7 linked regions of the Mus musculus genome follow. The protein of the gene in region 1 purifies or fractionates together with the protein of each later gene. This does not show direct contact. Links are inferred from orthologs where the notes say so. Each region holds a gene or a part of one and is shown in the gene's direction. Other genes may lie near its edges.

Region 1 (3,500 bases):
CCTGGGATTCCTTCCAATCATTAAGTTTTTTCAGTAAGTAATTTTCATTAGCTAAGTCTTAAACAGACCTGGGGAATAGTCTTTCCTCCAGCTGACCTGAAGCAGACTGACACCTTTAGTGAGAGACAGAGTGCAGCCCACGCTGTCTTCCAGCTTGGAAGATTTCGTTGACTTTTTGTAGAACAGTAACTAATGGGATTGATTGATGCAGAGGGAATTGTCCACGAAATTGTCATCGGTTCTTGTTTCTTCCCTGAGGAATTACAGTGCCTTATGGGAGACCTTACTGTCTTTATGGTCACCCAAGAGTTTTAATTCACTGATTGCTTGAGCGCTAACCGATGATGATGATGTCTTCTGCAGAGTGCCTGTTCTTTAGAGAGCAATCTCGAAGGCCTGGCTGGTGTTTTAGAAGCTGATCTTCCTAACTACAAGAGCAAGATCTTAAGGCTCCTTTGTACAGTGTATGTATGTAAACGATTTGTGGATCCAGGTGATGATGTATTATCTACTCTTGTGTGCTTGGGGAATGTTCGGTGGACTTCCTCATGTTAATTAGTCCTGAAACTCGTGCTCAGGAATGTTCATCTTTGCCCTTTGTTGAACTTAGTTTTTAAAGGGATAAATAGGACTAAAATGAAGTGTTTTCCTTATGTTTTGTTTCTTAGAATTTTAAAATAATTGAAGTTAATTTTTTAACTCAGAAAATAGATGAGAAAGTGGATATCTTATTTAGAGATCCTTTTTCCCCCACCAAGGAGTGCATCACATTTAGATGTTTAAAGTAGAGTTTAGCTCGTGTGTGTGTGTGGGTGTGGGTGTGGGTGTGGGTGTGTATGGATGTGGGTGGGTGGGTGTGTATGGATGTGTGTGTGTGGGGGTGTGTATGGATGTGTGTGTGTGGGGGTGTGTATGGATGTGTGTGTGTGGGTGTGTGGGTGTGGGTGTGTATGGATGTGTGTGTGTGTGTGTGTGTGTGTGTGTGTGTGGGTGGCCTCTCTTGAGGGCTGACGATGCTCTAGAAGCTTTTAATGACATAATTGTCCTTGATGCTGTAGTTACCATTTCAGGAATTTTAAAATAATGGCTAATTTTAAAGCTTTATTTTTTGTATATGGGCATTTTACTCCTCTGCCTGTAGAAGTCAGAAGAGGGCATTGGATGCCCTGAAACTGGAGTTATGGGCAGTTATGAGCCACCATGTGGGTGATGGGAACCCAACTTGAGTCCTCAGCAAGAACAGGTGCTCTTAACAGTCGGGCTCTCTAGACCCATAGATAAATTCTGTCTGCATAGAATCCAGTCAGTTCAGAGAAATGTATATCTAGACTAAGAAACTGTGAAAACAGTCATTTATACTTATCCATACGATACCCTCTGTTTTGATAGTATTACAGAATTGTTACGCTGGGTGAAGTTGTTAGAAGCCATGCTTACTTGTGTACGGCTGAGCTTGGTATTGATTGGCAGTGCCCTTTAAAATCTTTGTACTTGGAGAAAGCTTTAGGGACCATGGTGTACTTTCAGTACAAGCAGTTTTTGAGCTCCTGCATCCTTCCCTGTGCCCAGCAAGATACCTTAGAAAACAATGTGAGAGGATTCTCCGCAGATTTATCATTAGGACTGACTTGCTTTCCCTTTGTGCTGTGACTCAAGGCTTCATTTAGTGTGTGTGTACACGCGCGTGTGCGTGCGTGTGTGTGTGTGTGCGTGTGTGTGTGTGTGCATGTGTGGGTACACTGTGCTGCAGCATGTGTGGAGGTCAGAGAAAGACTTGGAAGAATCCGTTCTCTCAAACTCAGGTTGGCCAGGAAGAGTTGTAACCCTCTCAGCCATCAGCCATCTACCCGTCCTCCGCATGTTCTCAACTTGATTAGCAGGCCCTGCTTTAAGCATTTCTTATACGAACTTAATTTAAACTCATTTTAGTTCTTTATTTTGTATAAGCAATCCAATAATGTTTCTCCAAGAGGAAGTCTAGTCCCATGGTGTTTGGCCAGCTAAGTGTAGAAGCTCTGAATGCTCTGTTCCCTACTGATTCTGCATTAAAGAATCTCATCTCATGGAACACTTCAGAGATTACCATAGAAACCATCTGCTGTGGGGTTGTTACTCACTTCCACTCCACACACTTGAAGGAAAACTGCTCTAGCATGAATTGCAGTAATTTTGGTGTGATAACTTCACAAGTAACTGTGTGTTAACTCTTGCATTAACTATAATGAAAAACAGTGGCATCTGTATCTGCACACTGCCCAGTGATGCTGTGTCTTTTCAGAAGTCATTTTCAAAGCATAGTTTAAAAAATTTTGTTCCAGAGTTATTTAACCTTTGTTTTGGGGTTGTTTTGTACGGGTTCTCAAATCAGTGCACGTCTGTTACCTGAGAAGCTAACAATTTACACAACATTAGTTGGACTGCTGAATGCCAGGAATTACAACTTTGGAGGAGAATTTGTAGAAGCTATGATTCGTCAACTTAAAGAATCACTAAAAGCAAATAACTATAATGAAGCTGTATATTTGGTAAGTTTAATATGTATGTATGAATGTGTGTATAATATATATAAATTATATGTGTATAATTTATAATATATTATAAATTAGTATTGAAATGAAGGAAAAAACTACTGCAAGTCCTGAAATTCCTGCTATTTACACCCCTCTCCTGTAAGCTCATTCCGGGCTACTGTCTACTGGGTAAGCCATCCAGAGATCTGAAATTAATTTTCAGCTTTTCTTTGCTTCCTTTTTTCTGTCTCTATTTTCTCTAAATCCTATCTCCTAAATCCTCTTTGTTCCCATGGCTTCTAGCACAGTTTGTAACTCTTTTTGTGTTCTTAGCTGCCTCTGTACTTGCCGGTTTGCATCTACTCTGCCTTTGAGTCTGTCTTCAATAATAGCAGCAGTATAGCCTTTGTATGACTAGGCTCAGCTCATGTTGGCTACTGGTTAAAAGCTTCATTTCCTTCCCGTGTTTTATAGTGCGTGGTTTTAAAATTCTGATACACGAAATGATTCATTGGGCCACACAGAGTAAATATTAGAACATTTAGAACGTTTTTTAAAACAGTTTCATGTTTGTATATAAGATATTCTGGTCACATTGTCCCCGTTATCTCTTCCCCACTCCTCTTGCTGTGCCCATTCTAGCCGCTCTGATGTCCTTTTTGCACATGGGTGACTTACTGAGTTTAATTAGGGTTGCTTGCATACAGTTGTGGGAAGTCATTTACTGGAACATGGGCACCTTAGTAGTGACTACACAACTGAAGGAGATCCCTTCTTCCCCAGAAACTGTTAACTGTTGTGGTAAATATTTAATATTAATCGGGGGTTTCTACGCTGCCTTAAGTCATTCAGTTCCAGATAAAAGACACATTTGTAATAAGCCTTAACAGCACTAGAGCTGGGCAGATACCAATCCTGTATAACTATTTTGTCTACTTCCCTGTCAGTAACCATGAGTTATAATTTGCCCTGTTCTGCCTGGGCCATTCT
Region 2 (3,500 bases), on another chromosome or scaffold:
ATTTTTTTGTTTGAATTTTTCTTTTAAGGACTATCTTCCACAAATACTATATCATTTACTAAATAATATTTGCTATATGTTATATTAGTTAGAAATTCACTCTTAAATCAGCCCTCAAAGACTTAAAAGGAGAAATTACATTGTAGTTATATGTAGTTACAAATATGTAAGAATTCTAATTGGATTTGAAGAATTTCAATCAGGATATGTTAACAGCTTATTTAACATTGGACCATCATAGAATGTATCAAGTTTTTATATAGAATCAGGAGCAAGTAACTTACATTTTTTGCCTTTGTCAACAAATTTTAGGCTATGATGAAACTCTAGACAAAGATCCTTATTTGTAAATTGAGATGTAATTGTTTTACATATGTTGATACCACTTTGTAAAAATTCTTTCACTGGTGTTGGGTTTTGCTTATCAAGACAGGGTCTTAGTATATGGCCCAGCCTGTCCTCTGTCAAAATCCTTTTTCCTAAAGCTACCTTGTGCACCCACCATAGTTTGCTGTTCGCTGGCTTCTTTTTCTTTGAGGAAAAGGCAATATGTTTGTGTGTATCTTTTCTGGACTGCCTCTGCCCTGGCCCTGTTCAGTGTATACTGAGGAAGGTTTCCTGAGAGCAGTTACAGGCAGGCACCACCATGATCAACTGCTTGCTTAAATTTCTAAAGGACCTGTGGTTGTGCTGTCTCCCCCTTCGGCGGTATCCTGATTGTCTTAGTATTGGTTAGGAATTGGAAAGGTTTTAAACTTCTGCTTTTTGTTACAGAGTTCAAAGGGTTTGGAGTCCCAGATAGAGTTGTTATTCCTGAGGGAGTTTTTCGTAAACAATTGTGTTCTTTATATATCACATTTTAACTGTCTTTTTATCCTACTGTTCTTTGGCCATAGTTTGAAGTTGGGTTTAAAATACAATGAAGGATCAAACACATGACTTGCATGTGTCAAAGTGTCATCATTATTATAAATTAATCAAAAAGCCTCTCTTCCCCATAGTAGTAGTGATACAAATTAATTATCTTTTTCAGGAATTAATATTTTTATATATGTCTTGCATTGATTTTTTTCTGTGGTTGGTTGGTTGGTTGGTTGGTTTTCTATTTATTATGCTGTGTAATTTGCATGTGTAGTTTGCTGAATTAAGATTAGAGACTGATATAGAATTTGGACTATAATTACACATCTTAAAGTTACAAAATAGAGATTGATGTTCTAGTGAGTTGAAGCAAGAAGAGAAAATCTTACATTATGGTTAAGAATTATTAAAATAGCCGAGTGTGGTGGTGCACGTCTTTTAATCCCAGCATTCAGAAGGCAAGGCAGATGCCTCTCTAAGTTTGGGGCCAGCCTGGTCTACAGAGCAAGTTCCACACAACTAGAGCTGCACACAGAGAAACCCTGTTTCAAAATCCTAACCCCCAACCCCCAGCAAGAAAAATCAAAAAGAGATATTAAAATGAGAAAATATTGAATATTTGAACTTTTCTTTTACATATTAGATCCTGGTAGATACTGTCTGGGCCCTGTCTTACCTTACGGATGCTGGCAATGAACAGATACAGATGGTAATAGACTCTGGCATAGTTCCTCACTTGGTTCCGCTACTCAGCCACCAGGAAGTTAAAGTTCAGGTAGGTTTATTTTGATTAAGTTGGGTTTTTCTCACCATGCTTTAAGCAGGACATTCAAAGATTAAGTTTTTTAAAAAATTAAAGCATATTATTCACTTAAAGATGTAACGTGTCTTTGATGGGAAAAGGTGAGTTACTTTATCTTAGTTTTAAAGGTGGAGAGAAATTACTGCAATTCATTAAGAACGGCCCTTCCCTGCCAGACAGGAGACACTACTGTGAAGAACTGATTTTTAATACCAAGAAACATGGTTTAATATAGCACCTTGGGTGGCATCTAAAACCATTCCTGTTTGCTTTTTCCACTCCGCCCTCCCACTCCCGTGAAAGCATCTATTTTTCCTCATCTAGCAATTTGGTTAACACTGACTTACTGATATTTGTCTGATACTTAGCTGAGATAAAGTATTTAAACTGATATGCAGTTTAAGGACTTCCTAATTGTTTCTCTATGTTTTAATCCTCTTACATATGCTTTATTTTAGTGAGCCTCCATCTATAAAAAGCTAAAAAAAAATTAGCTGAGGATATAGCTCAGTTGTACAGCACTTGCCTCACTTGTACAAAGTTCAGGCTCTACTATAACACACACACACACACACACACACACACACACACACACAGTGATAGTTAACTGCAGTGGTAAAGTAGAATCAGAAAACCTTCCCTACCTTTTTAAGGTAAATAATGGTTTTTAATCTTAGAACGATCTGAAGTCAACCAAGCAGTTCTATAAGGAAAGCTGTTATTCTAAGTTACTTTCTCTTGCCCTTTTCTGGACCTTAGAATCAAACTTAAAGCTTAAAGGTGAAGAAAAAAAAATGTTTTTTCTTTCCCTTCTTTACCTCCTAGATATTCCCTACAAACTTAAGATAGCTCTTAAAGTGATACTAGTGTATGGTTAACAATGAAGATACATTTACCTAAAATTTAAAAAGTACTTGAAAGATGGCACAGTGGATAAAGTATAGGAGGTGACTACTTGAGGCTCCTCATCCCCACTGCTTAGAGTCTCCCTCATAGTCTCCCTAAAGCCTCCCCCATCTTAGGTCTTTGACTCTCTCTCTCCATACACCTGATCCTCTGTCAACATTCCTCCTTCCATCCAGTTGTCTCCTCCACCCACCTGATGATGACTATTTTGTTTCCTCTTCTGAGTGAGAGTCATCAATCCTTCCTTGGGTGGTCCCCCTTATTACTTAGTTTCTTTGGGTCTGTGGCTATTCTATACATTATGCCTAATATCCAGTTATTAATGAGTGCATAGCACACATGTCTTGCTGGGTCTGGGTTACCTCACTCGGGATGATATTTTCTAATTTCATACGTTTTCCTTCAAATTTCATGATGTCCTTGTTTTTAATAGCTGAATAGTATTTCTTTATGATAGTAATTATTATATAAAATTACCCTTTTATTGATGCCAGTTCTGTTGAAATAACTTAAGCTCCTTAAGGCCTGAAATTGTATATATTTCCTATTTCTGCTGTTTCTAGATCAGTACCTGAAATACAGTGCTCAGAAAGGATAGGTTAGTTGCAGTGAAAGAACTTCATGAGTGACTGAATCTGTCCCGGGTTGCCTGACACTGGTTGATAAGAGTTCTTAATATCAAACATCTCGTTGCATCTCGTGTTTCAGACTGCTGCACTGCGAGCTGTGGGCAACATTGTCACTGGAACTGATGAGCAAACACAAGTAGTTTTAAACTGTGATGCTCTCTCACACTTCCCAGCACTCCTCACTCATCCCAAAGAGAAAATTAATAAAGTGAGTATTTTTAAAATATTAATAAAATGGTACTCTTTGTTTGTGGAATTAGGTTCCATGAATGTCTTAAATAGCATTGACTTTTTAGTATAAG
Region 3 (4,213 bases), on another chromosome or scaffold:
TTTTTGTTTTACCTGGTCTTTTATCAAGTCAGGGCTTTTCTTTGTAGCCCTGGTTATCCTGGAACTTGCACTGTTTGGCTTTTTGTTTTTGTTTTGTTTTGTTTTTTGTTTTTTTTTCAAAACAGGGTTTCTCTGTGTAGCCCTGGCTGTCCTGGAACTCCCTCTGTAGATCAGGCTGGCCTTGAACTCAGAGATTCACTTGCCTCTGCCTCCAGAGTGCTGGGATTAAAGGCGTGCAACACCACTGTCCGGTGGGGTTTCGGTTAGGGTTAGGTAACTTGTCCTGTTGACCAGGCTAAACTCAAACTCAGAGATCCTCCAGTCTCTGCCTACCCAGTGCTGGGAAACCTAGGGATTTTTAGGCTGGTGGAGTAGGCTAAAGTTCTGAGAGCGCATAGGAAGACACTTACAGTCTGGACAGCAGCCATTAAACGCCATCCTGCAGATGCCGCAGTTCTCATCATTGGCTACCCAGAGCCAAGTGGCCACACCATTCCAACATTTAATTTTCACCTTCATGACAACAGAGCCTGTGACCTGAGGGAAGAGGATGACCTGGAGTTAGTACGGAATACGAAAGCACCTAAGCTCAAAGTCATGGAGCTGCGGCAAGTGCTGCACTCGTCAAGAACGGCATCTTCCAAAATTCCGTGCGTCCCGACCAAAAAGAAAGAAAAAGGCACGTGTTTGTCTTTAAAGACGGCAAGGAGAGCCTGTGGGATTAATGGCACGAGTTTATTTTGCCACCTTTAAGGATGCCTTTAAAGATCTGCACTCATGTAGTCTGGCACGGTGGCACACGCCTCTAATCCCGGGGCAGAAGCAGATCAGCCAAACAGGAAACGAAAACAAACAAAAAAACAAAAACAAAACCTCCGCATCCACGCAAAACATTGGTTTTCACTAACCAGGGCCTCGCTTTTAAAGATATGGAAAGAGTGACTGTCACTAATCCGCGAAGTTAAAGCAGGGGTGAGGACGCCAGCTCGTCAGGAGACCGAGCCTTCGAGCAAAAACAACCAAGTCGGACCCACGGACCGGCCGGGACCCCCACGATCGCACGGTGAGGAGGGACGCGGGACGCGCACACTGCGCTGCACCCAGGCGACGCCCGAGGATCTTCCGGCCTCCCAGGGAGGCGCCCGCAGGCCCCGCCCCCTGCTCGCCCTCGCACCTCCGCGGCCTAATCACGAGGCGCCCCGCCCTTCCGTTGCCTCCGCGCGGGAATGTATAAAAACGACCGCGCCGCGTCGGGCTCCTCCGAAGTAGCGCCAGCCACCGCGGCGAGCCGTACGCAGGCGCTCTGCGGAATCGCGCGCGCCCAGACCAATCGCCGCTCGCTTCGGGCCCGCGACGCCGGAAGGCAGGGGGAGGCGCCGGAAGTGACGCCGCGGCGTGCTGACGCGCGGGCTCGATCCGAGGCCCGAATCCGCGCCCGCCATGGCCGACAAAATGGACATGTCTTTGGACGACATCATTAAGCTGAACCGGAGCCAGCGAGGAGGCCGCGGCGGGGGCCGGGGTCGCGGCAGGGCCGGCTCCCAGGGCGGCCGCGGCGGCGCAGTGCAGGCCGCCGCGCGGGTGAATCGAGGCGGCGGGCCTATGAGGAACCGGCCCGCCATCGCCCGCGGCGCCGCAGGCGGCGGCAGGAACCGGCCGGCGCCGTACAGCAGAGTGAGTGCGGGGACCTGCGGCGCGGGCCGGGGAGGGTGCGCCCGGGCCGGCCGGGACCGGGTGAGCGTCCCGCGCGGGACCGCGGCCGAGGGGTGGGCGGGGGCGAGGCCGTCCCGAGGCCAGGATCTTCCGGGACGCTTTGTCCGGTCGTGGTCCAGCCTCGTGGCGGCGGGGGCCGCTGCGAGAGAACTTGGGTGTCCGTAGCGGAGCGGCGGGGCTGGGGGACTCTCGGGGCTCCTCGACCTTGGCCGCGGGGCCGACGGGAGAGCGTCGCCGAGGTGTCGCGGGCTCCCGGGACGAGTCTCACGAGTGTCTCTGTGCTTACGGTTTCTCTCCAGCCGAAACAACTTCCCGACAAATGGCAGCACGACCTCTTCGACAGCGGCTTCGGGGGTGGAGCCGGCGTGGAGACCGGCGGGAAGCTGCTGGTGTCCAACCTGGACTTCGGAGTGTCAGATGCTGATATTCAGGTAGGAGACGGGAGCTCTCCGCTTTCCTCGTCCCACGCGGACGTGGGCTCCAGGATCCTTTACAGATTGGAACCTGCCCTCCCCTAGGCTGCCCAGAGCCAGCCACTGTCACCCTGAGAGCCTTGGCCTCAGAAAAAGTAGGGTTTGAGCACGACCCCATAAGCCAGGCTGCAGGAAGATGTCACACACTGTGTGTGTATGTGTGTGTGTGCGCGCGCCCCCCTAAAAATGAGTCCTGTCTGCTGTCCAAACTGTGAGCGCCTGCCCTGTGCCAGAGCTTACAGTTTCTAACCTGCACAGACTGGCCACAACTCCGGTCCCAGCATGACCGAAAGGTGCTTGCTTCTCAGATTTATGCTCGATATGGTGAACTGATAGGAGAAGGAAGTCCAGCATCTCCCAGATGCTGAGAAAGGTGGCTGAGAGTATCTTCCAGCCTGCGTCTCTGTGCTGGATCTTAACTGGCGATCTTTCCTGGGTCTTACCTGGGTCATGGTTCTCCATGCCTTCGAAATATTTTTTTTCTCTTCCCCTCCCTTCTTGGATTTTGTGTCTTTTTAAATTTCTTTATAAACTGGACCTCAGAGGCATTTAGAGTTCTCTGGTTACAAGGCATAATTTTGGGAATTAGCTTTGATATAGCCAGAACTGAGTCAGGTGTGCTGGGCCTTTCTGGGTACCGTTCCCCAGAGCCCAGCTGTTTGACCTCCCCATGGGAGAAAAGAACAAGGCTGGTGAGCACTCACAGTGTCTCAACACTTCTTTTTTTTTTAAGATTTATTTATTTATTTTTATGGATTTGAGTACAGTGTCACTCTCTTCAGAGACACCTGAAGAGGGCATCAGATCCCATTATAGATAGTTGTGAGTCACATTGGTTGCTGGGAATTGAACTCAGGTCCTCTGAAAGAGAGCAGCCAGTGTTCTTAACCCCTGAACCATCTCTCCAGCCTGTCTCAACACTTTTTTTTAAAGGTGGTTTCTGGCATCCACTGGAAACTGCTTTAGCTAGCTGTACTCCCCACTGTGTGCCTGCAGCTGAAGTGCCTTACTCTGTGGGTTCCCTCTCCAACTCCCAGCCAGGACAGGTTCCATGCTGCATTTCACTTCAGACTTGGCAGCAGCAGGCAGTAGGAGGAAAGGGGAAGGTGAGCTAGAACCTGCCTTTGCAGTAGGGGCTGTGTCACAGTTCCCCAAAATACTGGGCCCTTTGCGTTGTCTGCTCAATGGACAGTTTTACTATTGGCCTCTGGTATTTAGTGAAACGCAGTTAGTCAAGTTGAAAGTACCCCTGCTGAGAGAGAGTTTTGTAGTTTTGTCCTGTGATAGGACTTTGTGTCTTCCCTCATCTACAGCATGGTGTAATTACATTGTCCCACAGTGGACAGTAACCCAGTTGTTCGCGACAGTTGCTGTCTCCCCTTCCCTCAGCTCTTAATCTCCACTGCCTTGCCTTCTTCCTGGGTGGCTGTCAGTCAAGTACCTCTAAAGCATAAGGACTTACAGCAAGTGTTGCTGAGCTACAAGAAGGAAATTGGCTTAATTGCTAATTTTTACCCCTTCCCAGGAACTCTTTGCTGAATTTGGGACATTGAAAAAAGCTGCTGTGCACTATGATCGCTCTGGACGAAGTTTAGGGACAGCAGATGTGCACTTTGAACGGAAAGCAGATGCCCTGAAGGCTATGAAACAGTACAATGGTGTCCCTTTGGATGGTGAGTCTGGGACTGGGCCCTGGATGCCTGTGGGGCGTGTGGAGTTTGGGGCTGGCACCTCTCCCTGTAGGAATCTGGGCTGCCCCCCCCCCCTTGGCTGAGGATACTTTGCATTTGCCCCTTTGTCTCTCTCTTCCATTCTGCCACCTCTCATGCTGCCCCACACATCTGGACCAACCTCTTGTGAACCCCCATCCAGCAAGCTACATCCCTCCCCTCCTTGAGCTCCTTCCGGAAGATTCACTTCTGTGAAGCCTTCTCAGAACCGCCATAGTACAACCTGAGTGCGGGGCTGTAGTCGTAAAGACAAAGGTACCTGTTCTTCTTCCGTCAGGTCACCCACACCTGTCTGCC
Region 4 (3,500 bases), on another chromosome or scaffold:
TTTAGGTGATACCACCGCAACACTTTGTGGTTAGTTGGTTTTGGTATTGCAGATTCCATTCCAGAGCCTTGAGCTACTATGTGTGGGACTGAGCCACCCCTGGGTCCTTTGTTTTTATGTTCACGACTGTCTCTTAACCACCACGTTGTCCTGGTAGGCCTTGAACTCACCTTAGTCTAGAGATAGGAGGCCTTGAACCTGAGGCTCCTGCCACAGGTTCCTGAGTAGTTGGGGCAGGCCTTTGCCACCTGGCTTGGCCAGAGCCTCTGTTCTGTTCTCCTGAATTGCTTGGTAGATTGTTTGAGAGTTGGGTTGTATGTGGCAAGAGGAAGCTAGATGCTCTTAAAACAGCCCTGGTGTGGACTTTAACTCTAGAGTGGTTAAAGCTTTCCGGGGGTCATAACAAGTGGCCTGTGTCCTCTGTGAAGGAACGTGGTGTGGCCTCACAGTTGGCATCCTTTGGAACTTTTGAGATTATATATTTCCATGCTTGGGTGAGTGGCCTGCTGGGTTTGAAAGGCCTTGTAAGCTGGCCCTGTGAGTAGAGAGATGTGTGCAGACTTCCTATTCTGGTTAGGGTGGGGAAAGAGCAGCTTGGATCAGTCTGGGCTGACCTTTGAGTCAAATCCACCTTCCTCTGCCTCTACTGGGATTAAAGGCGAGCATCTCCACAACCGCCCAGCATGACAGATTTAAAAGGGGGAATTCTAGAAGAAGAAAAGGAAAGGCAGTATGTGCAAAATGCTAAAGGAGGCCAGAGATCTTGTGATCTCTGAGGTTTCCATTGCTCGGCATAACCAAGCATTAGACATTGTTTTCCTAACCTGTCTGTGTGCAAGCTTACTGGCCTCTGAAACATTTTAGCGTATTTATATATCTTTTTCCTAGGATTTTGAAAATAGTTTGTAATCTGGAGGCATTGTCTATGTCTGTGTGCCTGTGCCTCTGGCTGTATGTCATTATACCTTGCCAAAAAACTAATAGACTTTCAGTTCCTTGGCTGACCGGTCCCTTGTGGTGGATTTAATAGTTGGGAACTGAAGCTGGATCAGTGGCTCATTCCTGTATTCCCATGGCCTGGGAGGTTGAGGTGGGCGTTTGCTGGAGTTGAAGGCTGCCCGGGGCTAAGGTCTCAAAACAAAGAGGGAGGGTGGCAAAGCTGCAGTCCTTCTCTGCAGGACCCACAGCACCCTTGTGCTACTCAAAATGCTCTGAGAGTTGGGATCAAGTCTGAGGTTGGGTTTGGTGTAGGAGCCTGCAGATTAGCTGGTTAGGTCCCCCCCCCCATCATAAAATCAGAATCATCTGTACTTCTCCTTGGCTGTGCAGCACAGTGTCCTCTAGGGGGCTGTCTAGTCCCTCCCTTAGTTTTAGCTCGCTTTTCCCTCAGTATTTGTAACTATGTCTGAAAGCTTAACTGATACCAGTAAACCATCGTGAACAGGAGTGGAGTGCTCCTGTGTGCATGTGTTAGCCATTGTGGTTCAGGATTGAGAAGAGGAAGAGGTTTACTGTAGAGTAAGCGTCCTGGTTATTTCTTTCCCCTTGAAATTGGACAAGTCCACGTGTCACAGCTCACACATCCAGCACTCACCTGGTGTCACAGCTCACACACTCACCTAGTGGGTTGCACATGGTGTGACTTTTATCTCAGGCACCGAGGAAGCAAAGGCTCCAGGCCAGGGAGACTGTCTGACAGTTCAGTTAGGAAAGCTTGCTTGTGGTTTGATCGTTGGGTGGCGCCTCACACTTGCTGGTGGCTTCTTGCTTTCTTCATCTGTGTAAGGAAGCTGTGACTTTGGAGTCACACGTGCCTCGTTGTGTAGATCAGCTAGGGCTGTGCAGAGCGATCCTGTCGTGGAGTTTGAGTGGAGGCGGAGAAGCTGAGTGTTCATCCCTTCCTCCATCCCCCTTGGCCCCCTGGTGCTGAGGGGGTCGCTTTGTTTCTTATGGGAGGCACAGGAGCCACTGCAGGCCTGAAAGCTAAGAGTTGGTTTACAGTCAACCACAGAATGGACACACTGGTATTGGCAAGATGGCCCACTGCCTTTAATCTGTACTTGGTGCCAGACAGGCTGATCTACAAAGTGAGTTCTAGGCCAACCAGGGCTATACAGTGAGGCCTCTCAAACCAAAGGGATGGGGGAGAATTCTGGGAGACTGGAACATTGTCCTTTCTCGTGGTTGACAGGTGGCAGTGTTTTTTGGCGGTCTGTCTATCAAGAAGGACGAAGAGGTGCTGAAGAAGAACTGCCCACACATCGTCGTGGGGACTCCTGGCCGAATTCTAGCCCTGGCTCGAAATAAGAGCCTGAACCTCAAACACATTAAACACTTTATTTTGGACGAGTGTGACAAGATGCTTGAACAGCTCGGTGAGTGGCGGTGCCCAGGCCGCAGCTCAGGTGGTTTGGGGAGCAGCCCTTTGAGCCAAATGATGTATGTTTGACATAGGAGCACTTGTGTGCAAGGACGACCCTTATCTATCACCCATGACTGATGGCTCTGGGCCTCCTTCTCTTCCCCTGGTGCTGTACAGTGATGCGGTGTGCTCAGCCCTGCGCTCCTTCCTGTAGCAGGGAACTGAATGTGCTGACGCTACAAGTCCTCACCACCACCCTCTCCTTAGGGATGGACCATGTACTGGGTGTTACACAAGAGCAGCAGGTGCCTGCCCTTGTATCCCAGTATAGCATGCGTGATAAGGATGAAATTTCATTAAGAGTTTCTTTGGGGAGTGCTAGAGAAATGGCTCGTTAGTTAAGAGCACTTGGCTGCTCTTGCAGAAGACCTCGTTTCATTCCCAGCATCCATATGAAAGCATATAACCACTATACATAGCTCCGGTTTCCAGGGGTGCCTGAAACCCTCCTTTGGCTTTTTTGAGCACTAGGTGCATTCGTGTTGCTTAGATGTACATGGAATGAATATAAATAATAACATAACGGAGCTCCGGGTGCTAGTTTTGGCACATGCCTTTAATCCAAGCACTTCAAGAGTCTAAGGCAGGCGAGTCTCTGAGTTGGAGGCCCATCTGGTCTAGAGTCAGTTCAAGGATATCCAGGACTACACAGAGAAATTCTTGAAAAAAAGGCTTAACCTGCCTTTAATCCCAAGGGCTACATATCGAGCTCTTATCTTTAAAAGAGGTGGGGGAGAGAATTGATTCTGTTGAGTTGGGAGAGTAGAAAAGAGTGTAGCTCTAGAGAAAAGTCTTTACAAATGGCCTTTGACTGTCTCAAGATGGCACTCTGGTGGCATTAGATCGGCTGTATATGTCTCATGGAACAGGGTATGTGAGGCGAGAGGTGAAGGTGGAAGGCACAGTGGACTGGTGTAGAGATTAAGTTCTGAGATGGGCGTAGGGAGAGCAGCAGGAAAGGGCCTTCAGCGGTATTTTCTTGGAGACTGTATGTATGTATGTATGTATAGGTCTTCTTGTGTAGAACTAGTTGGACTGGAAATTATGTTAGAAACCAGGCTGGCCTCAAACTCAGATT
Region 5 (4,072 bases), on another chromosome or scaffold:
GTCTACAAAAAGTCCGTCCTCTTGCAGATTTAGCACTACTGTTCTTTAATTTTTATAAATGTGTGGAATTTCTTCTGGAGTGTGGGTATCATACTATCGTCTCCAGGGCCAGATCTCATGGTTATTTGAAGGTGCAGAGCTGTCTTGAGAATTTGCATGGAGAATTTCCCCCAGTGGTCTTCAAAGTGGTTTGGAAGCTAGGAAATTACACCTAGAAGTTGCAGTCACCCAATAATCACACAAATTTGCGGATAGAAATATAAACAGGACTTGGCCCCTTGTCTGCGGGCACTCTGCTTAGCTAGGAAGGAGCACAGAACGGTTAAGAGTGCAGTGGAAATAGGCCCACTTGTCTCAAGATAAAATGGGAAACCTGGTGGAAGGCATTCTCACTGAGGTGGTCTGGTTTAGGAGAAACTGCACATATGGGACTAAAGCTGTGAACCTCGGGTAAACCGGGGAAAGTGTGGAGACCATACTTGCAAACTAGCCCTAAGTAAGGAATTTTTGACACGTCAGCTGGCCAAGAAAAAGAGGGTGTTGTAATAAGTTAGGCAAGAAAACTGGCTGAATCTTAGTCTAAAACAATAACCTATGCAGAACAACGGGACACAACTCCTAGTGGGAGTGAGGTTTGCTGATCCTTACTTTTTTTTTATTTTTGAGGTTACTTTTCTATGTAGTGTTGACTGGCCTGGGAACTCATTCTGTAAGTAGTCTAGTTTTGAACTCACAGAAATCTACTTGCCTCCGCTTTCTGAGCGCTGGTATTAAAGGCGTACGCCACCACACTCCGCCTAGGAATTCCCTAGTTTTAAGCCAGGCCATCCTTTCGAGAGCAAGGTTCACCTGTCGCACAACGGGTGTCTGCCCGTCGAATCCCATAAGCCAATCGGCATCCAAGAATGGGCCACTTCGGTGAGGCGTTTGGAAGATTGGTCCTTTTCGCCTCACCAGTCAGAGGCCAATTGCGGAGCATCCTCCATGTTGTGGGCCCGCCCATGGGTGGAGGATGAACGGAAGGTCGTCACAGTGCGGGCGTATTGTTACCTAAGGACTCAACAGGAGGTGGGGTGTGTTGATTGACAGGCATATTTCACCTACCGGGTTTAGAGAATTTGGCACAGTGGCCCGCCTTAGAGGTGGGGCCTCGTTTGATTGCCAAGTAGAATTCCCCAATAGTATTCGAGCTCGGGGTAACGGGCAGGCTGACTGACTAATGAATCCTCGGCGTGGCCGGCTCAGTTCTCCAATCGCCGATCGGCGGGCCCCAGTCTGAGCGGCGATGGCGGCGGCGGCGGCGGCGGCAGCAGCAGCGGGGGCTGCGGGCGGTCGGGGCTCCGGGCCGGGGCGGCGGCGCCATCTTGTGCCCGGGGCCGGTGGGGAGGCCGGGGAGGGGGACCCGGGGGGCGCAGGGGACTACGGGAACGGCCTGGAGTCTGAGGAGCTGGAGCCTGGGGAGCTGCTGCCGGAGCCCGAGCCCGAAGAGGAGCCGCCCCGGCCCCGCGCCCCTCCGGGAGCTCCGGGTCCTGGGCCCGGCTCGGGAGCCCCCGGCAGTCAGGAGGAGGAGGAAGAGCCGGGACTGGTTGAGGCCGACCCCGGCGACGGCGCCATTGAGGACCCGGTGAGGGGAGGAGGGCGAGCGAGCGGGCCGGGTCATGGGAGGCCCAGAGCACGGACAGGAGGCAGGCAGGCGGGGGGTGGGGTTGGGCGGGGAATAACGTGGCTGGTGGCGGGCCGAGGCCGTTCGTGAGCGGCCTGGTGGGGCATCATGGGTGTCTAGGGTGGCTCTAGAGAAGGTAAATTGACTCTTTTCATTTTTTCTGCGTGTTTTTTTTAAATAATATTTTTTATTTCAATCACGACCCTCGCACGAGGCGAGGGAAATGGCCGAGCACGGCTGTGGCCGGGCCCAGACAAAATGTACGGCACAGCCCCTGCGTCTGGTTAACTGCATGCCCTGCTCATTCATTGTAGGAGCTAGAAGCGATCAAAGCTCGAGTCAGGGAGATGGAGGAAGAGGCTGAGAAGCTAAAGGAGCTACAAAACGAGGTAGAGAAGCAGATGAATATGAGTCCACCCCCAGGCAATGGTGAGTAGATCGCCTCATGCACGCACAGTCCGGATCTTTGGTTGATAGGGTAGTGGGGGAAGACTGCAGCGTGGCAGAAGCCGGGGACCTTGAATGAAGCTGCTCGTCTGAGCAATTTTTTCTGGGCAGGTGCTGTGGTCATAGTCCATTACGTGTTCTACTGACCTTTGTTAGACACAAGCCGTTTTGGTGAAGAGATAGTCTTGTGCCTTCCTTTGTCTCATTTATAAATGTGTTTCTCTTTGTTCTTAGTTTGTCTGTACCCTTCTTGGGGCGATTATCAGCTGGCATTTGACCTTCAAGTCTTAACACTTTTCAGTTGGAGACCCTTTAGTTAGGACTTAGGAACTGACTGGTGGCTGTAAGGGAGGGAGTTCTTTAAAAATGTTAGATTTCAGTCCATTCTGTTTTGTTTGCTTTGAGGCATTTCAGCTAAAGCTGAATAGAGACTCGACTTGAAAAACGTAAAATCTTAACACCGTTTTTTATGGTCTTTTAAGAGGTAGTTTCTCTAATGTATATTGAAACCTACTATGTGCTAAACACTGTTATAGGTAATTGGTATAGTAGAAGTATACCCAAAATTTAGCCTGCGGGTGGAAGTGTGTGTGTATTGATCGAGCAGAAGATGTGCTTGCCTAAGGTAATTTTTTTCCCCTCTAAAAGCTGGCCCAGTGATCATGTCTCTTGAGGAGAAGATGGAGGCTGATGCCCGCTCTATCTACGTTGGCAATGTATGTATCAAGGAATAGTCTGCTTTGGGTTTTGGGGGGGACTTTTGTTTCTTATTCCTTACTTTGTTATGTGTTCAAATTGGAGTTTCCCCAGTACTTGTCAAGTGTTCCTTTCCTTAGGTGGACTATGGTGCAACAGCAGAAGAGCTGGAAGCCCATTTTCATGGCTGTGGTTCAGTCAACCGTGTTACTATACTCTGTGACAAATTTAGTGGCCATCCCAAAGGGTAAGTAGGAGGATAAGTTGAGATCATTTTACTCACATTTTAAAAATACGTGAAAAATACATGAGCTCGGAATCGAACCTAGGACCTTGAACATGCTGATGTGTGCTGTCAATCTAGTCAAAAGAGTGTTAACTCGTTTTAAAGGTTCTTATATATGTGGTCGGTTGGTTTTGTTTTCAAGTCAGAGTTTCTCTGTTTAACCCTGGCTGTACTGGAATTACCTCTATAGACCAGGCTGGCCTTAAACTCAGAATTAAACTGGGATTAGACTTCAGGTTTATACCACCATGACTGGCCTAACTTGAGCTGGGCGTGGTGGTGCACGCCTTTAATCCCAGCACTTGGGAGACAGAGGCAGGGATTTCTGAGGCCAGCCTGGTCTACAAAGTGAGTTCCAGGACAGCCAGGGTTACACAGAGAAACCCTGTCTCAAAAAAACAACAAAACCAAAAAAAAACATTTCCCAAAGAATAGTAATTGCTTATTAAAACAAGTAGGTTTTGCCTGTTAAGTGTCTCTATATATCAGTAGTTGTATATTAAATGCCTTCAGAGACCAGGTAATAAACTAAAGACTGGGCAGGGGTGGGATTGTAAACTAGAAAGGGAGGGCAGCATTAGTCAGCACCAGCTGTTTGTGTATGGCTATATAGAAATCTGGGTCTTGTTGATTTAATTTTGGTGCTACTGGAGACTGAACCTTTGGACTTAGAATGTGTGCTAGGCAGGTCCTCTTACTGAGGCATGTCATACACTCACACCTTTTCAAACTTTTTATTGTGAAATGGGTTCTCTTAAGTGGCCCAGGTTGGTCTTAGCAGCTCTGTAGCTTGCACAGACCATGAACTTAGGTTCCCCTGTCTCAGCCTACTGAGAAGCTGGGATTATAAACTGTTCATTATACTCAATAATGTTTAGAAGTTTTTAAAATGTTAGCATACTATACTTCCAGTTAACTGTATTACAAGTTGGGTTTAACCTGTAAGCTCTTTGTAAAGTCTGATAAAATGGCCAGATTAT
Region 6 (3,500 bases), on another chromosome or scaffold:
CCTGTTAAAGCAGCACCTGGAAAACGGAAGAAGGAGATGACCAAGCAGAAAGAAGCCCCTGAAGCCAAGAAACAGAAAGTAGAAGGTAAGCCTGCAAAACTGGGGAAACAGATCAGAGTAGCACTAGCACAAGTGATGAGTGACAAAGGGACTTAATACTGAACCATGGGGTTGAAATGAAATATGCTGATGTGCTTTATAGTTTATGATGAAATTTGTTGTGTGCTTAAGTGGGCTGAAAGTTCATTTTTTGTGTGTGCAGGCTCAGAACCAACTACACCTTTCAATCTGTTCATTGGAAACCTTAATCCAAACAAGTCTGTTAATGAATTAAAATTTGCCATCAGTGAACTTTTTGCTAAAAATGATCTTGCTGTTGTGGATGTCAGAACTGGTACAAATAGGTAAGTTTTAATTGAATGTTACATGTGTATCAGCTAGAATTTTTACTTTCCAGTTGTATTCTTCCCTGCCTTTAAACATGGGGCTATATCTAACTATGTTAGTAAAAGTCAGTTGTCTCCTCTCGTGGCCTTAAGTACAGTTAAGGAGCTGCAGTAAGAAAGACTATAGTATTGAACTAAATCATCGAGTCATAGGGCCTGCAATTTGAAGTTCCTGTGTTTGACTTGATAAAGATAAAATAAAATTTAAAGAAGAAAAGATATTAAACACATAAAATTTTGTGCAGTATCTACAACTATGGATCTGCATAGTCATATGCTTTTAGCTAAAAGTATTCTCTGTACTTTTAGCGGGGTCCATGCTAGCTACTGCTGTTAGTTACAATATACTGAATGAAGAAATCGAGGTGAATTTGTTGTAATGTCTTGGTACATGGACTTGTTTTGTTTTTTGTTTTTTTTTCTTTAAGATTTGTTTATGTATATGAGCACACTGTAGCTGTCCAGATGGTTTTGAGCCTTCATGTGGTTGTTGGGAATTGAATTTTTAGGATCTCAGCTCGCTCTGCTCTCAGTCCTTGCTTGCTCTGGCCCAAAGATTTATTTGTTGTTATACATAAGTACACTGTAGCTGACTTAAGATGCATCAGAAGAGGGCATTAGGTCTCATTATGGGTGGTGGTGAGCCACCATGTGGTTGCTGGGATTTGAACTCAGGACCTTCAGAAGAGCAGTCAATGTGCTTACCCGCTGAGCCATCTCTCCAGCCTTTGGACTTGGTTTTATGGAAGATAAGGGTGATCTAGTTTTATTTTTGTTAGTGCTGTAGATGCTCTGTGTGTGTGCCACATGGTATAAGTGCAGATCACCTTCTCATACCTGTAATCTTGTTTTTTCCATCTTCAAGGAAATTTGGTTATGTGGACTTTGAGTCTGCTGAAGACCTAGAAAAGGCCTTGGAGCTCACTGGTTTAAAAGTGTTTGGCAATGAAATTAAACTAGAAAAACCAAAAGGAAGAGATAGTAAGAAAGGTATGTAAGGGGGTCTGGGTGACTGGATACTAACAGACTTAGGCAGTCTGGTGCCTCTTCCTTAGTTTCATCCTCATTGTGAACCAATGAGATGTCATAGGTCATGTGCTTGTTGACAGGTTTGATTCCTGGGATATATAATGTCAGGGCTGACAGGAGGAATAGCTTAGTGAGTAAAGATGCTTGCTGCAAAATGTTTGATCTCTAGAAGCCACATGAAGAGAGAAGAACCTTTAATCCCAGCATTTGGGAGACAGAGGCAGGCAGATTTCAGAGTTCGAGGCCAGCCTGGTCTACAGAGTGAGTTCCAGGACATCCAGGGCTACACAGAGAAACCCTGTCTCGGAAAAAAAGTTTTAGCTTATCCTCTGACCACATGTGTATCGTGACATGCTTGAAGCTTACGTATCTCTTAAATGAATTCTTGATCCCTATATTTTGAGTTTCAGAATTTGGATTTTAAGTGTTTGTTTCTTAGTTGTGCTGAAAATTGAACGTGGGCTTTTCACATGCTAGGCAAATTTGTTGGGTTTTTTTGTTTGTTTTTTTCTCAAGACAGGGTTTTTCTGTGTAGCCCTGGCTGTCCTGGAGACCAAGCTAGCCTTGAACTCAGAAATCTGCCTGCCTCCCAAGTGCTGGGATTAAAGGCGTGAGTCACCACTGCCCTGCTAGGCAATCACTCTTAAAACTGCTACATATCCTCTGTCCCCTTTTGCTCATTTTACAAGGTTGCTGTGTGCTCAATCTGCAGTCTATGTTATATGCTTACTGGATCTAGGCTTTTGATGTAGAATGAACCATATGAGTGATGAGGTATCTTAGAGATGGAAACTAAGTCTAAATAGACTTGTTCCATATACAACTTAATACATATGGTCTAAGGAACATGATATACATGTAAACAAGTAGGAAGGAGATAAGTCTGGTGTCCAGGGAAGCCAGGAGAGCCTCATCTGAAACTGGACAGGGGTTTGTGAGTCATCAGGTGACAATTGAACATGGGTACTCTTCATGCAAATGGTTAGTAACCATTGAGCCACCTCTCCATCCCTTTATACCATTTTTTTTTTTTAGCATATATCCTTGTACTTTATAGGAATTATTTGCTTTATTCTCTTGTGACTTGTAAATTGATGTACTTAATTAAATCTTTTTCCAACATAGTTCGAGCTGCAAGAACACTTCTAGCCAAAAACCTCTCTTTCAACATCACTGAGGATGAATTAAAGGAAGTGTTTGAAGACGCCATGGAGATCAGATTAGTCAGCCAGGATGGGAAAAGTAAAGGGTATGTTTTGTGTCTTTGAGTGTTAAAGTTTTATTAAGTTTAGTGTCTTCTTCCCCTCTCCTTGTCCTTGACAGTCTCTAGTCTGCTGCTTCAAACTTAACTTCATAACCAGAAAATTGAATATCTGGTCCTCTGGCCTCTACCTCCCAAGTTCTGACATTAAAAATGCTCAACTGATGGGTTTTGAAGCTGTGATCAATTTTACAGGCTCAATCCAAATTGGCATCTTTTGCCACAAGTACTATCCTTCCCTATTTTATGAGAGAAATGTGATTCTAGGCAGTTCAGTCTATTGTGTTGGCTCTTTTTCCTCCTCACCAGTTTAAAGGATGAAGATGAGCTAATACATAGTAAAAGAACAGTAAAAGCACATGTGACTAAGTCCTTCATGACTGATGCTTGAGTAATATTTTCTCTAACGTAGTAACTGAATTGTCTTGTACTCTTTCAGGATTGCTTATATTGAATTTAAGTCTGAAGCTGATGCAGAGAAAAATTTGGAAGAAAAGCAGGGGGCAGAAATTGATGGACGATCTGTTTCACTCTACTATACTGGAGAGAAAGGTCAAAGGCAAGAGAGAACTGGAAAGACCAGCACTTGGAGTGGTAAGTTAAAGGGTTTATTGTGTAGTGGGAACAGGAATCATTTGTATCTTTGTATTTTAAGTAATTGGTTACCTACAATTAGTTCACCTTTGTTCATATAGCTGATGTTTAGTCTTCATGAGTGAAAGCTATTTGAAATCATTTCCTTTGGAGTATAGTAGGCAAATAAA
Region 7 (4,227 bases), on another chromosome or scaffold:
CTAGGCAAAGGTTTGTGATTCTGTGTTCAGAATTACTCAAGTTTTAAAGTATTTGAAGGCAGGCAGTGGTGGCACACTGCCTTTAGTCCCAGCACTCTGAGGTCTGTGGAGTTCAGTCAGGTCTACAGAGACACAGAGAAACCCATTAAGTGTGTGTGTGTGTGTGTGTGTGTGTGTGTTTGGGGGAAGGGAGCAAAATAAAGAAATAAATAAAAAATTTTAAAGGTTTGGAGAAAATAGGTATTAATAAGTTATTGGTTTTTTGTTTTTGTTTTTCGAGACAGGGTTTCTCTGTGTAGCCCTGGCTGTCCAGGAACTTACTCTGTAGACCAGGCTGGCTTCGAACTCAGAGAACTCAGAAATCCGCCTGCCTCTGCCTCCCAAGTGCTGGGATTAAAGGTGTGCGCCACCACCACCGGGCTAATAAATTATTGTTACCATATTTGCTGCTTCCATTGTCCTTTTTCTTTTTCTTTTTTTTTTTTTTTTTTTGCTTCTGTCCTGGAACTCACTCTGTAGACCATGCTGGCCTCGAACTCAGAAATCCGCCTGCCTCTGCTTCCTGAATGCTGGGATTAAAGGTGTGCGCCACCACTGCCCGGCTTCCATTGTCTTTATTTTCCAAGTAATCTAAAAGTTTACCACACGGGACAAAGTGGGGCATGTCTGTAATCCCAGAACTGACGTTGAGGAAGGATTGCATTAGGTTCAAGGCTAGCCTGGGCTCTATTGTTAATGTGAGACCCTGCCTCAATCCCACTCCCCATGATAAAAATTAAATAACCAGTAAATAGCACAAACAATAATATAGCGATACAACTAATGATTGCCTAAAGATAAAATAATCAACAAATACTATAAACAATATAGTGATACAACTAATGGTTAAGAGGCACACAGATCCACGTTCTCCCGGTGACCAGCTCCTGATGTAAAATTTTTTTAAAGTAAATATATTTCTCTTTTCTTTTATTGATTGATTGACTGATTGGTTGATTGAGACAGGGTCTCACTATTTAGCCCTGGTTGGCCTGGCTGTATAAACCAGGTTTGCCTTGAACTCCTAGTGCTGGGATTAAAAGCCTGCGCCAATCACCGCAAGCTAAGCCTTTTTTTACAAGTGTAATAATAATTTCGTGTGTTTGTTTAAGGACAAGCCCAGGGAAAGCAAACAGGGTACGGCCCAGTGTCCATCTAAGCATAGACGAAACGCAGGTCTCCATGCTGTGTGCTGAGATCTGGAGTCACCCTTCTGCAAGGCACCCTGGGATTGCCCGGCCGCTCCCTCATCTCGCGACGCTTCCCTGCTTACCGCCCCACCCCCACCTTTTTTTTTTTTTTTCCCCTACGACCTGCGTCTGCGTCCCACCCCCACCCCCGCCTAACGTGTTTTTCAAACCTACCAATGAACGCGCAGCTTAGGCTCAAATCAGCCAATCGGAACGCGGCGTCACCGGGAAATTTAAATCGCGCCGGCCGGCAGCACGAGGCACAAAATCTGAGGGCTGAAGGGTAGCAGACGTTTCCACAGCCGCCGACCCGCAGCTTGAGTGTCCTGCACCACCTTTCGTGGAAATCTGAGCCGGCTGTACAGGTAGGAACGGAAGCCGGTCCTGAGCAGTAACGGCCGGACGGAAGGCTGCGGGGCGGAGGGCGGGAGCAGGCCGCGCCCGGGCCGGAGCTGAGCCTCCCTGCTCCGACCAGGCCTCGGGGCGGGTTGGTTTCGCCACGCCGGGGTCAGGGTTGGCAACGCCGGGCGCTGCGGAGGGCAGCGAAGGCCTGGGAGCGGCTCGGGTCGGCGTGGAGGGACCGGAGGGCAGCCGCAGTCGAGCGGACCTACCTGGCTGTGCCGCCGCTTTCCTGATGCTTCTGCCCCGGGGAGGAGACGCAGCTTTGGGCAGGGGATGAAGGTGGCAGTTAAGACACCCCAGTTAAGCCCTTGACCCGGATCACCTGGGTCAGGGTCGAGGACGGACATAAAGCAGTTAAACCTACTAGCTTACCAGGGTACTTTGGGTTCCTGTCCCTTCGCGACGACCACACCTGGGTTCTATCGAGCCCCACTGATCACAGCTGATGTCATCCCGGCTGAATGCATTCTCTGGAAGTGTGTGCAAGATGCGGCGTTAATGCCATTGCTGACAGCGATGATGTGATGGAAGGCCCTATAATGGAACGAACCGATTCTTTATGTAACTTGCAAGAGGGTACTAGTATGGATCCGTTTTGGCCATCGATCAACAGAAAACGAGAGCTGCGTTTATTGCCTTAAGGACGTAGATGGTTGCCAGGCATTGTTGGCGCACGCCTTTAATCCCAGCACTTGGGAGGCAGAGGCAGGCCGATTTGAGTTCGAGGACAGCCAGGGATACACACAGAAACCCTGTCTCGAAAAATAAAACAAACAAAGGACGTAGATTGTTCTCCTACTTGGTGTTCTATTAACTAATGGAGCCTAGAATTTAGATCCTTGACTTAATACCGTGCTGGCTAGAGGCTTAAGACTATTGAGTGTTTGAAAAGCCGCTAATCTGTTGAGATGCCCCGTGTGCTTAAACTACCCATTGGATTTTGAAGGTGTATAAAAACAGTAAGACATCTCAATTTTTCTGTATTGATGACATCCTCAAATGGTAATAGTTTAGCTATATTGGGTAAAAGTCTTAAAATTAATTTCCTTCCTTCCTTCCTTTCTTTTTGTTTTTTCGAGGCAGGGTTTCTCTGTGTAGCCCTGGCTGTCCTGGAACTCTGTGGACCAGGCTGGCCTCGAACTCAGAAATCCTCCCGCCTCCCAAGTGCTGGGACTAAAGGAGTGCGCCACCACTGCGGGGCTCACTGTGGTTAGTGGAAATTTTAAATTATCTTTTTTTAAAATTTTTTTTGATTGACAGTTAAGTTGCCTTTGTAGTAAGGGGCAATTATGGCTTAGTATTATAGCCATAATGATGAAAACTTGTAGGATTTTGTTTTGTTTTTATTTTATTTATATATTTTTGAGACAGGGTTTCCTGAGTAGTCCAGGCTGTCCTGTAATTCACTCTGTATACTAGACTGGCCACAAACTCAGATCCGTTTTACCTCTGCCTCCTGAGTGCTTGGAGTGCTTTGCCATCACTGCCAGGCTGTGTTGTGTCGTCATCTTTGTTTTTGTTTTTTTTTTTTTTTTTTTTGGTTTTTGTTTTTGGTTTTTCGAGACAGGGTTTCTCTGTATAGCCCTGGCTGTCCTGTCCTGGAACTCACTTTGTAGACCAGGCTGGCCTCGAACTCAGAAATCCACCTGCCTCTGCCTCCCAAGTGCTGGGATTAAAGGCGTGTGCCACCGTTGCTGCTTTTTAAATCTAGTATAGAAATGGAGTTGAGATTTAGTTGATTATAACATGCTATTGTATATTTCTGTTTGTTTCATCTTAAGATAGGGTTTCTCTATGTAGACCTAGCTGGCCTGGAACTCTCTACAGACCAGGCTGGCTTCAAACTGATAGAGATCTGGTTGTCTCTGCCTCCCAAGTGCTAGGATTAAAGGCGTGTATTACTCTACCCAGCTTCTGTTGCATTCTTATTAAAAATACTTTTTCTTTGTTTCTTTTTTTTTCTTCTCACCCTCCCTTGGCTCCTAGCTTTCCTCCTTGTTCCTGCAGCCATGTCCACGAACGAGAATGCTAACTTACCAGCTGCCCGACTTAACAGGTTCAAGAACAAGGGGAAGGACAGCACAGTGAGTACCTTCTGTTGCTTTCCTGCGTGCTTGTAAAGGGAAGGGGGATGTTTATATAACAACAGTTCTGAGGGACTGGGGATTGAATCCTAGAGCTTCACACTCAGGCTAGGTAGGTTTTTTTCTGTGCCCAAGCTTCATCTCTAGTTTTAGGTATTTAAACTTTTAAAATTGCATTTATTTATTATTTACTTTTGTGTATGTGGGGGGAGGATTTTTATGTGCACCTGTTGTACATGTAGAGGAATTTCCTCCTCTACATGGCTCTGAAAGATTGAAGGCCTCAGACTTGGTGGCAAGTGCCTTTATTCGCTGAGCCATCTCTTGTTGGTCTTTGAAGGATTTAAAAAAAAAATCACAACTGGGTGGGGTGCTGAACACCTTTAATCTCAGCACTTAGGAGGCAGAGGCAGGTAGATCTCTGAGTTTGAGGCCAGTCTGGTCTACAAAATGAGTTACAGGACAGCCAGAGCTACACAGAAAAACATTGGCTTGAAAAACCAAAAAGGGGG

The links.
Region 2: the proteins of Ncbp1 (region 1) and Kpna4 purify together in Homo sapiens (co-immunoprecipitation; 3 studies listed by BioGRID and IntAct, with this or other methods). This does not show direct contact. The link is inferred for Mus musculus from reciprocal best matches to the Homo sapiens genes NCBP1 and KPNA4.
Region 3: the proteins of Ncbp1 (region 1) and Alyref purify together in Homo sapiens (affinity purification with western blotting; 6 studies listed by BioGRID and IntAct, with this or other methods). This does not show direct contact. The link is inferred for Mus musculus from reciprocal best matches to the Homo sapiens genes NCBP1 and ALYREF.
Region 4: the proteins of Ncbp1 (region 1) and Ddx39b purify together in Homo sapiens (affinity purification with mass spectrometry; 6 studies listed by BioGRID and IntAct, with this or other methods). This does not show direct contact. The link is inferred for Mus musculus from reciprocal best matches to the Homo sapiens genes NCBP1 and DDX39B.
Region 5: the proteins of Ncbp1 (region 1) and Pabpn1 purify together in Homo sapiens (co-immunoprecipitation; 3 studies listed by BioGRID and IntAct, with this or other methods). This does not show direct contact. The link is inferred for Mus musculus from reciprocal best matches to the Homo sapiens genes NCBP1 and PABPN1.
Region 6: the proteins of Ncbp1 (region 1) and Ncl fractionate together in Homo sapiens (co-fractionation; 3 studies listed by BioGRID and IntAct, with this or other methods). This does not show direct contact. The link is inferred for Mus musculus from reciprocal best matches to the Homo sapiens genes NCBP1 and NCL.
Region 7: the proteins of Ncbp1 (region 1) and Kpna2 purify together in Homo sapiens (co-immunoprecipitation; 5 studies listed by BioGRID and IntAct, with this or other methods). This does not show direct contact. The link is inferred for Mus musculus from reciprocal best matches to the Homo sapiens genes NCBP1 and KPNA2.

What each region holds. Positions count from the first base shown.
Region 1 is NC_000070.6:46,145,011-46,148,510, forward strand, and holds part of Ncbp1 (nuclear cap-binding protein subunit 1), read left to right. Parts: intron 1-363; coding exon 364-464; exon of another isoform or gene 465-493; intron 494-2,368; coding exon 2,369-2,525; intron 2,526-3,500. UniProt on the Homo sapiens protein: Component of the cap-binding complex (CBC), which binds cotranscriptionally to the 5'-cap of pre-mRNAs and is involved in various processes such as pre-mRNA splicing, translation regulation, nonsense-mediated mRNA decay, RNA-mediated gene silencing (RNAi) by microRNAs (miRNAs) and mRNA export.
Region 2 is NC_000069.6:69,085,593-69,089,092, reverse strand, and holds part of Kpna4 (importin subunit alpha-3), read left to right. Parts: intron 1-1,504; coding exon 1,505-1,636; intron 1,637-3,277; coding exon 3,278-3,406; intron 3,407-3,500. UniProt on the Homo sapiens protein: Functions in nuclear protein import as an adapter protein for nuclear receptor KPNB1. Binds specifically and directly to substrates containing either a simple or bipartite NLS motif.
Region 3 is NC_000077.6:120,595,566-120,599,778, reverse strand, and holds the start of Alyref (THO complex subunit 4), read left to right. Parts: upstream 1-1,413; 5' UTR 1,414-1,440; coding exon 1,441-1,674; intron 1,675-2,012; coding exon 2,013-2,144; intron 2,145-3,711; coding exon 3,712-3,859; intron 3,860-4,058; exon of another isoform or gene 4,059-4,171; intron 4,172-4,213. Other genes in the region: Anapc11 (anaphase-promoting complex subunit 11), read right to left, coding at 411-519. UniProt on the Homo sapiens protein: Functions as an mRNA export adapter; component of the transcription/export (TREX) complex which is thought to couple mRNA transcription, processing and nuclear export, and specifically associates with spliced mRNA and not with unspliced pre-mRNA.
Region 4 is NC_000083.6:35,244,746-35,248,245, forward strand, and holds part of Ddx39b (spliceosome RNA helicase Ddx39b), read left to right. Parts: intron 1-2,191; coding exon 2,192-2,375; intron 2,376-2,429; exon of another isoform or gene 2,430-2,505; intron 2,506-3,500. UniProt on the Homo sapiens protein: Involved in nuclear export of spliced and unspliced mRNA. Component of the TREX complex which is thought to couple mRNA transcription, processing and nuclear export, and specifically associates with spliced mRNA and not with unspliced pre-mRNA.
Region 5 is NC_000080.6:54,892,871-54,896,942, forward strand, and holds the start of Pabpn1 (polyadenylate-binding protein 2), read left to right. Parts: upstream 1-1,272; 5' UTR 1,273-1,285; coding exon 1,286-1,624; intron 1,625-1,977; coding exon 1,978-2,092; intron 2,093-2,758; coding exon 2,759-2,826; intron 2,827-2,946; coding exon 2,947-3,053; intron 3,054-4,072.
Region 6 is NC_000067.6:86,352,956-86,356,455, reverse strand, and holds part of Ncl (nucleolin), read left to right. Parts: coding exon 1-85; intron 86-128; exon of another isoform or gene 129-196; intron 197-262; coding exon 263-404; intron 405-1,311; coding exon 1,312-1,436; intron 1,437-2,600; coding exon 2,601-2,724; intron 2,725-3,175; coding exon 3,176-3,330; intron 3,331-3,500. UniProt on the Homo sapiens protein: Nucleolin is the major nucleolar protein of growing eukaryotic cells. It is found associated with intranucleolar chromatin and pre-ribosomal particles. It induces chromatin decondensation by binding to histone H1.
Region 7 is NC_000077.6:106,996,726-107,000,952, reverse strand, and holds the start of Kpna2 (importin subunit alpha-1), read left to right. Parts: upstream 1-1,427; 5' UTR 1,428-1,594; intron 1,595-3,617; 5' UTR 3,618-3,640; coding exon 3,641-3,715; intron 3,716-4,227.